Sus scrofa: one gene and its partner. The protein of the gene in region 1 purifies or fractionates together with the protein of each later gene. This does not show direct contact. Links are inferred from orthologs where the notes say so. Each region holds a gene or a part of one and is shown on either strand. Other genes may lie near its edges.

Region 1 (3,986 bases):
CAAAAAGACCAAAAAAAAAAAAAAAAGAGTAAAAGTAGAGGTTGGGAGGGTGGGGAAAGAAATGAAGCAAGTAGAATTTGGTAGCAGAGCCAATGCTGTCGTCCCCTTTCTTCTTTCTGTTTGATAACAAGTTAGAGGAATAAATAAGTCACCCTAGACCAGGCCTTAGAAGTGCTGGGATCCCTTGCACAGTCTGAACTGTCCCGATGCGACTGTCTCAACACTTCAGCAATGTCTCGGTCATGCCTGTTACTAGGGAAGGTCTGTGGGTGATCAGAATTTTAAACCTTCACCCTAAGCGATATCTTTCCCTGCCTTCTCTTACTCTTCTGCCTTGACCAGAAGCACTCAGGCACAGGCAGTACCGTGGTTTGCACAGTCCCGGTTTGGAAACCTCACCCGTCCTCCTCCTGTTGCGTGGTGGAGGCGCTGTGAGGAACACGTGGACTGGTTAATCCATAAGCACCAAGCATCATGCTCTTGAATCCCTGAGAACCAGCTGCATCCCTCCCTCTCAGGGGCTCACTTTTCCATCTGGCTTCTCTGGGGGCTTCCAGCAGGCCATCAAAGGACCCTGGAAGAGCACTAGTCAGCGGTGGGGGTGCTGGAACCCCCCATGTCTCCTCCCCTAGGGAGGTGGTCAGTTGAGTGATACCTTCTGGCGCCCGTGGGCTGTTTCCCACCCGAGGGGGCAGCATGATGCACAGGGGCACTTTGGGCAGCCGCGGATTCTGGAAGTGCACTCAGGTAGGGCACGGATGTGGAGGTGGAAGGGTGTTCTGGCCTCATGATGCCTCCAGCTGCTAGAGCCATTCCTGGCCTCTTCCTCCAGCGGCCATGGGGGCCTTGCAGCAGCGCTGTCTAAGCAATTACACTGCCTGGTCTCGCGCTCACTCTCTCCCCTTAGACGCATCTGACCTTCGGCAAGGAGTTCACAGAAGCGGTGGAAGCCAAACAGGTGGCTCAGCAGGAAGCAGAGAGGGCCAGATTTGTGGTGGAAAAGGTGAGCGCTCAACCAGATGGCAGGAGCCCCTCTCCCCCTTCCTCCTGTGCTCCGCCTCCCGGTTTGCTGGGTGGCCTGGAAATTCATCATCTGTCATCTCTTCTTCCGGGACATCGGAAGGGGATTGAAGGGACTCTGCTCCTGCAATTGGTTCCAGAGTCTTTGGGGTCCAGTCAGGGATACGTGGGGTTATGTTCCTAAATCACTGAAGGGTAATTTTTTTTCCACTTCCCTAAGATCAAAAACACTCTCCCACAAATAAAGATGTTCCTTCTGGAACATTTTCAGCTTCACTGAGAAGTCGTTTTTAACCATGGTTACACAGTGAAAGCTGACAGCAGAAAGGATCAAACGTTGCGCCAGATGTACCATCATCACTGGATTTTTTTTTTTTTTTTTTTTTCCCTCAAGCACTAAATCCGTCCAGATGTGTCAGAATGGGCTGGGACACAGCATGTTTGCATGGAGCCTGGTCTTTTGGTCTTTGCAAAGATGTATTTGCTTCTTGTACCCCCTTCGCCCCCCGACTAGTCGTCTTGGGTTTATAGTCCTCATCCAAGGGGGTCCTCAGAATCAGAGAATAGAGGGGTTTATGGGTAGACGTTTAACTCCAGAGCATATCACTCCGTGTGGGTGGCGACTTCTTGCTCTCCTTCCTCTCTCCAGCACCTAGAACCTGTCCACAACCGTGCCTGGGCCTAGATGCTAAGGATCACTTGTTGAGTGAACAGTCCCAGAGCCTCCGTTTAACAGCTGTGTGTCCAAACAGCTGTGTGTCCATTGCCGAGAGGCTTGGCACTGTGCTCTCCTCCCGTCCTTCTGAAGGTCGTGCTGTGCAGGTCGATGCCATCCTGTCCCAAAGGGTAGGGAAAGCCCAGGAGAGCTCGTCCTGGTCAGGAAGCAGTTTAGCTCCTGTCTAGGGAGCGTCCCCTGTCTGTGGTCCTTCCGAGCCACGCTGGTCTTGACCGAAGTCGCTTTGACTTGGAGCTGGAGGGAAAGACGAGGGTCGGTTCCTCCTTCTTTCTCTCCTGGTTTCCTTGGCCTGGGATCCTCAGAGCAGGGGGGCTGCATTGCGTTGTTATTCGTGTTCTGGAGGACTGTGAAACAAGACAGCGGTTTCTGCAGCCACCAGAAACATGTCCCTGCAGGGCTGAGCAGTGGGCATGATGGGCGAGCGGAGGATTGGGCGGCCAGTGCTTGCCGACCCCGCCTGCAGGGGGCGGCCCATTCCCAGAGTGCCTTTCAGGGCCCAGTGAGGGCGCCTGACCGGGTGCTTTTGAGGCCGTAGCCTGCCGTCCGGCACCCCGACCTTGCTGTGACCTTGGTCTCCCTCTGCCTCTCCGCCCGCCGTAGGCTGAGCAGCAGAAGAAGGCAGCCATCATCTCCGCCGAGGGCGACTCCAAGGCGGCGGAGCTGATCGCCAACTCGCTGGCCACTGCGGGCGACGGCCTCATCGAGCTGCGCAAGCTGGAGGCCGCGGAGGACATCGCGTACCAGCTGTCACGCTCCCGGAACATCACCTACCTGCCGGCCGGCCAGTCGGTGCTCCTCCAGCTGCCGCAGTGAGGCCCGCCCCTCCCGGGGCCACTGGACCCCAGCCCCGGTGATCTCAGCCGCTCCTTCCTTCTCCCACCCCAGAAATCACTGTGAAACTTCATGATTGGCTTAAAGTGAAGGAAATAAAAGTAAAATCACTTCGGATTTCTAATTACTCTATCAGACGAAGCTCTTTCATTCCTCTCATTTCCATCCCCTCTTTTTATCCACCTCCCCACCAAAAATTGCCAAGTGCCTATGCACACCCACTTGGCTCCCGTCTCGGGGGCCTGCTGGCGCTCCCACCTAGGCACTGGCAATGGGCAGAAGAGAGGCAGGGCTGTGAGTGGGACGAGCCGGGCAGGACGCTGGTGGCCTCCAACCGATCAGTCATTCAAGACCTGAGGCCCATGCAGCTGAACTGCGAACACAGGCCTCGGTTTTTTTCCAGTGGTCCCTGCACAGAGAGGTGCTGGGGAGGGTCCGAGAGGAAGCGATCTGTCTCTCAGCATAAGGCTGATTCTCTTTAACTGGGGCCAGCGGAAGCAGGTGTGTACAACCGACGTGGACTGAAAACTCTGCCCCTGTGAAGGTGGGTGGGCCTGATGTGCTGCCCCTCAGGGTCCTAAAACTGGAGTGGACTCGGCTAGTGAAAGAGCGGCCCTGGACCGAGATGTGAGTCCTGCAGACTTCCTGTCCACCCCCCACCTTGGTGTCAAGTACCGGCGGAATTCCAGCTTGAAGGATTGCATCCTGCCGAGGCTGCACAGGCCTGCCAAAGACGTGTGCGTCCTGCGTTCCTGGCTCCCTCGTTCAGAGACTGCCCTTACAGAGGGCTCTGCGCCTGTGCCTTGAAACAACCACCAGAAGAAAACAAGTGTGTGTAAACTGCTATCAATAAATGACATCCAGACCTCCCAGCTCAGTCGTAATGGGTTTGGTGTTTTCACTTTGTTTTCTGGGTTTTTTTTTTTCTGGTGGCAGGCGGGGGCGGGGGGGGGTGGTGGTTGCTTGTTGGAATTCATGGGTTGAGGACAGAGCATTCTAGTGGTTTTTGTGTGCTGGTGTTTGTATCACCGGCGAGGATAGACTCTCCGGCAAGGCAGAAAATGCTTTGGTTTCAGAAGACACTGCTGTGTTCCAGGTCCAGCTGCAGCCGGAAATAATCGGTGGTGTCAGGTGAGGTTGGTGGCAATGTGGTTTCCTAGGGAGGTGAGGGTGGATGGAGGTTCATTTACCCGTGGCTTTTGGTGCCCCTACAAACTGAGCGTTGTAGGCCCACCACCAAACGAGAGATGGACATAAAACACCCGTGTGCTAATAAGCCCTCCATGCGCTCTGGATAGACTTTGCTTTTTTTGGCCACCCCGAGGCATATGGAGTTTCCGGGCAGGGATTAAATCTGAGCTACAGTTGCAGCTATGCTGGGTCCTTTAACCCACTGGGC
Region 2 (3,812 bases), on another chromosome or scaffold:
TGTTGTTTACCAATGCATCATTTTTATAAGGGATAGAAATCTTTTTAAGTCCTTTCCACATATACATTTAATTTGGGTTAGATAAAAACTATACCTTTTAGGCAATCCTATCAAATGAGCACCTCACACATCACAATCAATTTAAATGCATGCACTAGTAGAGTCTGGTAATGTCTTGGCCTCTTCTAAAAACCCAAAGCACATCAAGCCTCATGTGAAATAAACATCTACTCTTTCAGCACCAAACTGAAACTAATGTGTCTCAGTCTAACACGTATACATCTCTGAGGGGCACTCTAGAAATGCCCAAAGATGATCTTTTTATGTTAAGAGAACTCCTTTGGGTTGTACCCAGAATCACAGAAAATAACATCAGACATTAATATCACTTTGAGGTCCTACATCATAATATGCCACAAAAGAAATACTCACACATTAGTGTGTAGCTGGAAGTCCCCAGTCCTGTAGCCCACTGCAAAGTTATTCCTTGTCAGCTTTGATTTAGCACTGTCAAAGGTCATCTGGTACCCAGCAAGCCAGCCCTCATAACCAAAGACAGCTGAACCATGGATTGCAGGTCCAGCAAAATCAAAGTCAACATCACAACCAAGGTTTACACACTCCCTCTTGTAAGAAGACTTGATTTTACCACTTTTCTTCCTGGAAAAAGAACAAATCGACTTAAAAGTGATGCCAGTGGGAAAGATTTACATACCTAACTTCTGCACAGAGGGCACAAAACCTACTGAAATGAACTACAGTATAACTGGGGAGTACAGGCACATCCCACTGTTTCACCGCAGTTCACTGTATTGTGCTTTTGCATATACGGCCATTTCCCCCTCACAAACTGAAGGTTTGTGGCAATCCTGCATCAAGCAAACCTACTGGTGTTTTTTCCAACAGCATTTGTTCACTTTGCGTCTGTCACATTTTGGTAATTCTCACATTATTTCAAACTTTTAAAACTATTATTATATCTGTTACAGTTATTTGTGGTCAGTGGTCTTTTGATGTTCTATTATGACTCAGTGAAGGCTCAGGTGAAGCTGGCATTTTTTTTTTTAAGGCTGCACCTGCAGCATATGGAAGTTCCCAGGCAAGGGGCTGAATTGGAGCTACAGATGCTGGCCTATATCACAGCCACAGGGATCAAACCTGCATCCTCATGGATACTACTCAGGTTCTTAACCCACTGAGCCACAAGGGGAACTCTTGATAGATGGCATTTTTCAGAAGCAGTTTTTGGATTTTTTGGGGGTGGAGGGGGCACTCCCACAGCATATAAAAGTTTCCGTGCCAAGGAACAAACCCACACCACAGCAGTGGCAACACTAGATCTTTAACCCACTGAGCCACCAAGGAACTCCAGAAATAAAGTATTTTTAAATTAAAGCATGTACATTTTTTCGCCCAACATAATGTTATTTCACACTTAATAGTATAACGTCAACATAACTTTTACATACACTAGGAAACCAAAAAACCTGTGTAACTCGCTTTTTTACAAAATTCACTTTATTGCAGTGATCTGGAACCAAACCCACAGTATCTCCAAGGTTTGCCTGTAAAAGAGGTAGCAGGATAATCAAATCAAGCTCAATGAACACACTGAGGGCACATGGGGCAAAGGAGCTGCTGCCACCACCACAGGAAGACTGTTTTGCAGAACTGGCTATCAGTCACAAAAGCCTATGGTACACATGTCAGTTGCCCAAATTAGTGCCACAATGATAAAAGGCAAATATTTGAAGGCAAGCGAACAACTGTATGCTTCATGCTCCAAAGTCAGAAACGGAAATCTGCCATAAGGCAGCTGAAGTTCAATAAGCTATCAAACAGTAAATACGCACCTTTCCTAAATACAGAAGAGGAATGCTTTTCAATTTAAAGCAGATAAAAATGTCCATGGAGTTCCTGTTGTGACACAGTGGTAACGAACCCGCTAGTACCTATGAGGATGTGGGTTCAATCCCTGGCCTCACTCGGCTGGTTAAAGAACCCGGTGTTGCCGTGAGTTGTGGTGTAGGCCAGCGGCTACAGCTCCAATTCAACCCCTAGCCTGGGAACTTCCAGGTGAGCAAAGTGCGGCCTTAGGAAAAAGACCAAAAAAAATTTTTTAAATTAAAAAATAAAAATGTCCATGCTTACCCTGTGTTTGGTGAAAAGGTGGTATCAAATGTCAGTTTCAAACCTTGACAAATCTATTTGGAAAGAAAAAGAATTTATTTTCAGCTTTATTTCCCTTTGAAATACAAAAATAAATAATAGTAAAGCACACTTTCAGAATGTTACCTGGTCTTCAATAGCGATTTCTGTTCCCAGAGTGTTATCAGTGTTCCACTTTTCTGTGAAAGTCAGACCATACTCACACCATTTATATTTGGTCTCCAAGGTCCCAGTAACTTTACCAGTGTCTGTATTAGATGAACCAGATGTTGAGAATTCCTAACAAGAAAATAAATAACATCATGAACTTTCTCTTAAGCCTAGAAGAATCCACTAACTTACACATACAAAAAAAATCCCTACTCAAACAACTTCACTATCCTTTTTCTAGCTTCCCAAACACTGCTACCCTTTACTACCAAATATACAAGAGTGACAAGTTAGCCTGCAAGTTACTGAGTGCCATCTTATTATTGCTGATATTTCCAACAAATTGTCACTGAACAACAAAGTATACAGCTTTTAAGGAAACTTCTGCTAAGATGATTTCATTTGGCATTCAAAAACCAGTGAGGGGGGAGTTCCCAATGTGGCTCAGTGGGTTAAGAACCAAACTAGTATCCATAAGGATGTGGGTTCAATTCCTGGCCTCGCTCAGTGGATTAAGGATTCAGTGTTGCCATAACCTGCAGTGTAGGTTGCAGATGTGGCTCAACTCTGATGCTGTGGCTGGCAACTCCTGCTCCAACTCGAATTCCACCCCCGACCAGGAAATTCCATATGCTACCGGTGCAGCCATAAAAAAACAAACCCAGTGAGGGGAAGAAAAGGAACAGGTGCTTCAGTACTGCTTCCAATCTACCTGAGTAAAACACTAAGTAGGTCAGTATGACTAACCACAGACCCCCTTCATCAAAATCAGTGTATAATAATTGATATAATTTACTATGAAATAGTTTCTGAAAATTCTTAAAGGGAAAGCATCCCATTAAAAGAATGTATGCCATGAAAGTTTTGTTTTGTTTTGTTTTGCTTTTTAGGGCTACACCTGTGGCATATGGAAGTTCCCAGGCTAGGGGTCAAATCAAAGCTGCAGCTGCCAGCCACCGCCACAGCCATGACCACATGGGATCCAAGCCGTCTCTTCAACCTTAACCGCAGCTTGAGTCGACACCAGATATTTAACACACTGAGCAAGGCCAGAGATAGAACCTGCATCCTCAGGTTCTTAACCCACTGAGCTACAACAGGAACTCCCAAAGAAGATTTTTTTAAGAATTATTTGGGAGTTTCCATCGTGGCACAGTGCAAAAGAATCCAACTAGGAACCATAAGGTTGCAGGTTCAACCCCTGGCCTTGCTCAGTGGGTTAAGGATCCGGCGTTGCCGTAATTTGTGGTGTAGGTCACAGACGTGGCTTGGATCCTGTATTGCTATGGCTGTGGTATAGGCCGGCAGCAATAGCTCCAATTGGACCCCTAGCCTGGGAACCTCCATATGCCTCAGGTGCGGCCCTAAAAAGACAAATAAATAAATAAATAAAAATAAATAAAAAATTATTTGGTAAGCCCAATGTTCTGTTTTCCTAAAGAGTCACCAGGTTTTATGCCTTTCTAACCACCTTTCACATTCTCATTTTAAAA

What was found.
Region 2: the proteins of PHB (region 1) and VDAC2 purify together in Homo sapiens (affinity purification with mass spectrometry; 4 studies listed by BioGRID, with this or other methods). This does not show direct contact. The link is inferred for Sus scrofa from reciprocal best matches to the Homo sapiens genes PHB1 and VDAC2.

The regions. Positions count from the first base shown.
Region 1 is NC_010454.4:25,595,993-25,599,978, reverse strand, and holds the end of PHB (prohibitin), read left to right. Parts: intron 1-907; coding exon 908-1,003; intron 1,004-2,356; coding exon 2,357-2,569; 3' UTR 2,570-3,459; downstream 3,460-3,986.
Region 2 is NC_010456.5:77,773,373-77,777,184, reverse strand, and holds part of VDAC2 (voltage-dependent anion-selective channel protein 2), read right to left. Parts: intron 2,449-3,812; coding exon 2,296-2,448; intron 2,205-2,295; coding exon 2,152-2,204; intron 661-2,151; coding exon 433-660; intron 1-432. UniProt on the Homo sapiens protein: Non-selective voltage-gated ion channel that mediates the transport of anions and cations through the mitochondrion outer membrane and plasma membrane.